Nothobranchius furzeri: one gene and its partner. The protein of the gene in region 1 purifies or fractionates together with the protein of each later gene. This does not show direct contact. Links are inferred from orthologs where the notes say so. Each region holds a gene or a part of one and is shown on either strand. Other genes may lie near its edges. The genes, in order: afg2b and timm13.

Region 1 (3,925 bases):
TTTTACTCACACCCAATAGTTTTATTCTGAGTGCTGAAAAAGGTTCGTTACAAATGTTCGTCGTTTTCACTGCAATAAATATGTCATTTTATTCAACTCGGATTTTTATTTTATTTTGTTTACTTTCAGGTTCAGTGAGCTAATACAGTATGACAAAATGAAGAAATGACTAAATGCACATAGACGAGGTTTTGCTGAAAAGAATGATACCAAACAAGGCATTAACAGTAAAATATGGTTTAATTTAAAGGTGAACACTAAAACTTGTCAAAACGGCTACCAGTAGTCACACCACCGACAGAGGGTTAAACACCAGAAACGGACTTGATTATTCTGCATTATCCTGTAACTTTGGGAGTTGTGAAGCATTTACCTAATGAGTTTATTGAAACGCATATGCTGTAGTTTTTTGTCATCTTGACCACGTTTGAACTTGTCCAGCTCTAAAACTCCAACATTTAAACACTTTAAACTGGACTAGATTATAATGTTAGGGCAAATGAATTTGTAACAACAGTTCTACACCAACTGCAGACAAATAACAGAATTAAAAAGAAGCCCGTGTGGGGCCAAATTGATTAAATCATAACCAAGAAGCTTTAAAACAATAACATATTTAAGTCAAGGTCAAAAGCAAACAAACTTTTATTTCGGGATCATATATGTAAGTCTTACTTGAGAGCAGTCGGTGCCTCCCCAGTCATGAACCTCACCGCACGTCACTGAATTCAAATGATTTTCTATTTCCTGTCTCTTTATTCAGCTCTAATTTTAAAACCAAAGTTTCTTCAGTAGAATCTCATTCACCACTGGTGATAATTTGGCACGCACGTGTAAAATGAGTGCTCCTCAGTCTTTTCATTCAAATAAAAGAGTTGTAATCTATTAACTTGTTTCACAAAATATAGTGTCCATAAATTCCCAAATTCACCTGACACGGTCAAAAACTGTCTCAGTCCATCACGCCTGAGGCACCTGAGGACTGGACAATAGAAATGTTTCTAAACCGATATAAACACTTGTCTACGTCAGTGGGCGTGACTTTCTATTTCACTCTACTGCGCAGCCGCAGACTCAAACCCACGTTTCCACTGCGCAGACTCAGTTCCTCAGTTTTTCATGCAGACTGAGCAGGAATGACGGCGGCTGTAAACAGGATAATCTACTGAAAACCACAAAGTCTTGTTCTAATCTTTACCCGCTTCATGTTGTTGGCGGACGATGCAGCGTGTGAAGCTTCTGCTGCCGGACCCCGCTGACCGGGGCTCTCAGAGGTGCCGGCTGGGTCCGGGCTTGATGTCGGCGCTAAGCCTGAGACTAGGCTCTCCTCTGCTGGTGTCTGTTCCCGGGGGGAGCTGCCTCTGTACCGCCTGGCCCCGTTCGGACCTGGCGGAGGGGTTCCTGCAGATGGACCTGAAGTGTATCGCTCCCACTTTGATCTCTCAGCCTCCCGTGCACCTGAGTCTGGAGCCACGCCATCTCACACCTGTGTCCTGCCCTAAACTGAGGGGAGTTAAGGTAACGGTGGTGGTGCAGAGCGCTGGCTTTAGGAAGCACACACCCGCTTGGGTTGTTCATGAGCTCGTGAAGGACATGCTGAAGGGTGTTTATGTTCACAAGCAGTATGTGGTAAACATGGAGGACTATGATACAGAGATCAGGTTTGTTGTTATAGACGGAATCAGACCGGACTCTGACAGTGCAGGTATGGTTACCTCAAAAACAGCTGTGGAGATATCCGGGATCCAGACTCTCAGGCATTACAAGAGCCAGCTACTGGACCAGCACACGCCCCCACTGGGAGGACTGGACGAGGTCAGCTGTTTGAGCATAACTTACTATTATAGTGATAAAAGCTGAAACCGTTTTCCTTTGTAGGTGAGTGCTTCTCTGAGAGAGATGCTGCAGCTGCCCCTGATGTACCCAAACACCCTCAGCTCCCTGGGGGTGTCCTGCCCCAGGGGCGTTCTGCTGATCGGGCCTCCTGGAGTCGGCAAAACCCTGTTGGTCCACAAGGTGGTTGGGGAGGTGGGAGCCAGCCTGGTGGTGGTCCGAGGGCCAGAGGTACTACTGTGTGTTTGCACTGATATGGATGAGTAGCAAAACAATAAAACACTGTCAGGAAGTCATATTTTACACACAGGAAATATATAAGTTTACTGAAATGGTCAAGAATTTAAATAAAGCTACATGACAGAAGAAAAGTCAAAGAGGCAAATACATTTTTTTCAGATGCCATTCTGTTGCGCAAACTATTAATGTTGACGGCTTATACAGACTTTTATACTATACTTTTATACTAGAGACAAAACAAACAGCAACGTTTAACCCAGCAGAAAGGTTATTTAGTGCAGATTGAAATGGCTGTTCTCATTTACATCTGATTTATTGGTGGTGAACTGTTCTTCCAGGTGGTAGGATCTCGACCGGGCGAGAGCGAGGAGACGCTGCGGGCTGTGTTTGAGCGTGCTCGATCAGCAGCAGAAGAGGGTCCCTGTGTGCTCTTCTTAGATGAGCTGGACTCGTTGTTTCCCAGGAGAACCGGCTCGTCTGCACCAGAGAACCGGCTGGTGGCTCAGCTGCTTACACTGATGGATGGGATGAATCGGTCTGACCGCTTCCTCATCGTAGGAGCCACTAATCGCCCTGACAGTTTGGACCCAGCGCTGCGGAGGCCTGGGAGATTTGACCGAGAGGTACTTTTTAAATGTGTTTATCAGAGTGAATTAGAAACAGAATAAAGCTTTGAGCTGTGAGTGTTTGTCTCTCCTCCAGGTCATTATTGGTGCTCCAACCGTGCAGCAGAGAAAGGCCATCCTGACCGTCCTGTGTGAGAGGATGCCTGTGTGTCCCAGGCTCAACATGACAGAACTTGCACAAATCACCACAGGGTACGTTGGGGCCGACCTGAGTGCTCTGTGCAGGGAGGCGGCCATGCACGCTTTAAGGCAAAAAGTGAAGGTAAACTGGCACTGAAGCAGAACAATGACATTTGAACTGTTTCTGTGAATTCTCTACATGCATCTTAAGCTTCGTTGTTGTTGTTATGTCTGCAGGGTTCAGGGAAGCAGGAGGTGGAGATGAAACACTTCCTGGAGGCTCTGAAGTCCGTGCATCCCTCCAGCTTGAGGAGCAGCCTTGGCCGGACGGAGCTGTCCTCCGTGTTGTGGGAGCACATAGGAGGCCTGGATCAGGTCAAAGTCAAACTAAGACAGGTAGCTAAATGGGGGGGGGGGGGGTGACTGAAACTATAACACTCAAAACCTCCTCTCCATATTGCCTTTTAAAGAGCATTGAGTGGCCCATGAGGTACCCCGAGGCGTTTGTGCGTCTAGGACTGAGTCGGCCCCATGGCGTTCTGCTTTATGGACCGCCAGGATGTGCAAAGACGACGCTGGTGAAAGCTGCCGCCTCCTTCTCCCACTGTGCCTTCCTGTCTGTCAGCGGGGCTGACCTGTACTCCTCTTATGTCGGAGACTCAGAAAAAGCTTTAGCTCTGGTACATAAACTTTTAAAATCAGCGACCTGCAGACATCAGACCTGCTTTTATCAATCTGCTTGTGCTCGTGTAGCTGTTTCGCCAGGCCCGCTCCTGTGCTCCCTGCATCCTGTTCCTGGATGAGATAGACTCTCTGATTGGTTCGCGGTCGAACAATCAAACCCCCAACAGCGTGCAGACCCGCCTGCTGTCTGTTCTCCTGAATGAGATGGACGGGATCGGCCTGAGGGTGCTGGAAAGGAGAGGAACAGGAAAAATCCTCCAGACAGAGGGAGTGCAGGAGACTCACACAGAGGAGGTCGTATGATGCTGATGACATCACACCGCTTCAGCACAGTGGGACTTGTGTAATACGTCGTTTTTGTTCTTTCACAGCTGGACAGCCAGGAGGTGTGCAACAAAGATGTGATGGTGGTAGCTGCCACA
Region 2 (3,614 bases), on another chromosome or scaffold:
GAAAGCCTGAAGTTTGTTTTAGTTTTTCTGGTTGACAGGTGGTGATATTTTGAAGTCATAGGTAGCATTTATAATAAAATTATTCTAAGTTTGCACAATGGGAATGTGTGAATGGGAACTGTTAAGCTACTTCTCAAAAAAAGTAGAATTAATTTTACATGTCAAAACTTGAAAACATGAAGCTAGTAAAGAAAGACAAATTTGGGTGAGTTCTGCATTAGGTGCACAAGTGAGTGAGTTTGAATTAATTTATAGGCCTATTGAAAGAAAATATGTATTTATTTATGACTCACCAGAAAACAGACTCGTCTGGGACTTTGTTTAAAATCAAAGAGAATTTTTCTGAGGAAGATAGTGGTGGCTAGCCTTTTTGTCTGTTGCATTTTATTGATCATATCATGATAAAACTCTCACCTAAAACAATTTACAATGCTCCTCATATTAAGTGGTGATCATACATGAATTCTAAATAATCTAAACAAAAGTATTATCTTTTAGCGCCTCCTTGTGTTTGATTATAACAAAATTTTTGAAGCCAAAGGACTCCTGCATGATTTGCTGCAACAGTGTGGTGAGCAATAGGTTGACTTTTTAATTTTGCAATACTGCCAATAACGGGCTAAAACCTTCTCCAGTGTGCTACTTTTCTCTTAAATAAAACAATACATATAAAGTTAATTAAAATACACTTTAATTTGATTCTATAAGACATGATCATTTGAGATTATAGAATTATTCATTGTTGTTGTGATTCAACGCTAAAATTTACTTCAGATGTAAACTTTTTTTCTTGCTGACTGCTAAAATTTCATTGTGTTAATGTATAGATTACAGATATAAGATAGACCTAGTTACATCCTCAGGCCTGTTTATAAAATGAAAAGAGTAAAATATCTTGAGCTGAATAAATTCTTTATTACTAATAAATATAATTAAGAAAATCAATATTTAAATTTTAAAAAGTAGTAAAAACTCTCTAACAAATATTTTTAACAATCTCAATAAGTCAAATGAGTCAAAGGTAGCCTGCTTCCACTTCTGGCATAGAAAGTGCGGCCATGGACATAAATTCTTTAAGTAATTACGGTGGGACACAAAACAAAACAAAACAAACAAACAAACAAAACAAACAAAATAAAACAGAACATTGTGCAAAAGTCCATTTCTTTCGGCAATTCAACTTAGAGTGGGAGAGCATAAAGGCTCAGGAACTCCTTGGATCCATCGGCTGATTAGAGAGCGACACTTCAAGTCTAGAATGTTGAACCTTTTTACAATATTCAATTTTCTGATGTTTTGAATCTGGGCTTTTCATCAGCTGTAAGAAATAATCATCGTAATTTTAACAAATAAAGACTTGAAATATTTGATTAATCTATATTATTTCCACCTTTTAAGTAGAATTGTTGAATAAATTAACATTTGCACCGTATTCTCATTTTTCCATTTTCACGTGAATTTTGAGAGGAAAGTGCGGCGACCAACCATGCTTTGAAAAACTCGTTTTCCCAGGATACAGCTGCTTCGACGGAAGTGACGTTATTTCACATCCGCCTCAGTCAAGGACATTGAAAACTGCCGTGAAATAAAGTTAGCATTAGCTGTTTGCACGTGTAGCTGATATATTCCTTACAAAGTCACCGTTTTAAGTAGAACACCGATAAAAATGGACGGGTTTGGTTCAGACTTCTCAGCAGGAGGTTCCGGCGGGAAGATGGACACGAGTACCATCATGGAGCAGGTTAAGGTCCAAATAGCGGTGGCTAACGCGCAAGAGCTTCTGCAGGTAAATCACTGGACCCCAACGCCAAGCTAATACTCGCAGAGCAGTTAGTTTATTTCAAACTGATTCATTGATGTTGTCAGCAAGTTGTTTGGATAGATTACACTTTATGTTACAAGCGGTACATGGAAATCCGTTTCAAACACTTAAAATGACCCCAGTATGGGTGTTTATTCTAATTCACCACTGTGTTTTATTGTTAAACTGGTGAAACATTCTGAGCTGCTCACGTTACTACAATATTTTTATGTTTTAGAGAATGACCGATAAATGCTTCAAGAAGTGTATAGGTAAACCAGGGAGCTCCTTGGACAACTCTGAACAGGTATGGTTTAAACTCCTTTATTTTCCCATTCAGACTAACAATGTCACTAAAAGCGGATTAATTCTCTTTAAAGAGCAAGTCACCCCCTACAAGAAACTTACTTCACTCCCTCTTCATGTTTGAATAATGCAACAAATGCTGTTGCCTAGCAGACCGAGAGGGCGGAGCCGCTAACAAATACACACACACACAGGCTCACAACGGCATTGTGACATCATAAGAACCAGTTTACATCATAACATACCTCTTAGCCAATAGCGATGGCAGATTTAAATCCTAATGCAGTGCAGAGTTTATACCTGACAACGGCACAACACTGACAGTTTTAGGCAGAAAATTGCTATTTTAACTAAAATGCACTAAAGTACAAAACTATTAACTGCACGTGTCTGCAGCACGACTAGACACACATCTATATAGTTTATCAGAAAAAAAGTTTATTTGGGGGTGACTTGCTCTTTAAGTAGCACATTGCATCACAACTTTATTGTGGCTAATCCATCTATTTATTTTTGAGCCATAATGAAACCCTAACAGCATCTTTTTGAACAATGAGTCAGATGAGTTTCCCACAATATCCTGATTTTTGTTTCATGTTTTTCTAGAAACCTTAACCTTTTTGCCTTTTCTTCCACAGAAATGTATTGCCATGTGTATGGACCGATATATGGATGCCTGGAACACAGTGTCTCGGACATACAACTCCAGGTTGCAGAGGGAAAGAGCTCGCATGTGATGATTATTTTCCCTTTCATCAAGCTGCTGCTGATTATAAAGACCAGCACGTTGCAATCCTGGAGGCCCAGAACTGTGGACACAGGTGTATGATGGCAGCTGCACGACATCTTTGTGTCATAAACCATCTCACATGGACAGGAAGGCAGACGGGGCCTGTGGACTTCAAGCTGTAACAATGTCTGTGGACATTTTAAAATTGTGCTCTAAGAATCAGATCATCAATAAAGTATAATTATTTGTATCTTCTTTGGACCTTTTCAGCGCACTCCTTCAACGTGGTGATGTGGACCAGTGCAAACATAGCTGCTAAGACATTTTAGATTTTATGTTAGCAGGTCATTGATGTGCTGATGTAGTCAGATAAGCCTTGTTCTACGGGTTGACTTTGACACCCCAGTCCTTGAAATTGACAGGATTATTTAGAAAAAATCCTGGTTGTGTAAATTAGGATCCTGAGAAAGTCGTCACTACACTCCTCTTCATAAATTAATTTGTGTAGCCATAATGGAGTTCTTACATCGCTTATATCCTCTAGAATATGAACAAAAACCACGTAGAGCTATTGGTAGGGTTAAACTTTATTTCCTTTGGAAGGGATTTTCCAAACTCAGGAGGACTTGAGAAGCACATTTTTTGTTTTCACAGCTGTGATTCTGACATTTACAACCCTCTGAGCAGCCTATATCAAAGTACAGCTGGAGAACAAAACTGTTTTGTCTGACACGTTTCCCGTGTCACTCTATCTGCTGCCATCCACAGAAGTGGACT

What was found.
Region 2: the proteins of afg2b (region 1) and timm13 purify together in Homo sapiens (co-immunoprecipitation; 3 studies listed by BioGRID and IntAct, with this or other methods). This does not show direct contact. The link is inferred for Nothobranchius furzeri from reciprocal best matches to the Homo sapiens genes AFG2B and TIMM13.

What each region holds. Positions count from the first base shown.
Region 1 is NC_091749.1:43,208,414-43,212,338, forward strand, and holds the start of afg2b (ATPase family gene 2 protein homolog B), read left to right. Parts: upstream 1-1,085; 5' UTR 1,086-1,221; coding exon 1,222-1,815; intron 1,816-1,878; coding exon 1,879-2,064; intron 2,065-2,411; coding exon 2,412-2,696; intron 2,697-2,775; coding exon 2,776-2,961; intron 2,962-3,056; coding exon 3,057-3,215; intron 3,216-3,289; coding exon 3,290-3,499; intron 3,500-3,572; coding exon 3,573-3,797; intron 3,798-3,874; coding exon 3,875-3,925. UniProt on the Homo sapiens protein: ATP-dependent chaperone part of the 55LCC heterohexameric ATPase complex which is chromatin-associated and promotes replisome proteostasis to maintain replication fork progression and genome stability.
Region 2 is NC_091748.1:58,303,148-58,306,761, forward strand, and holds timm13 (mitochondrial import inner membrane translocase subunit Tim13), read left to right. Parts: upstream 1-1,527; 5' UTR 1,528-1,666; coding exon 1,667-1,786; intron 1,787-2,039; coding exon 2,040-2,108; intron 2,109-2,745; coding exon 2,746-2,844; 3' UTR 2,845-3,092; downstream 3,093-3,614. UniProt on the Homo sapiens protein: Mitochondrial intermembrane chaperone that participates in the import and insertion of some multi-pass transmembrane proteins into the mitochondrial inner membrane.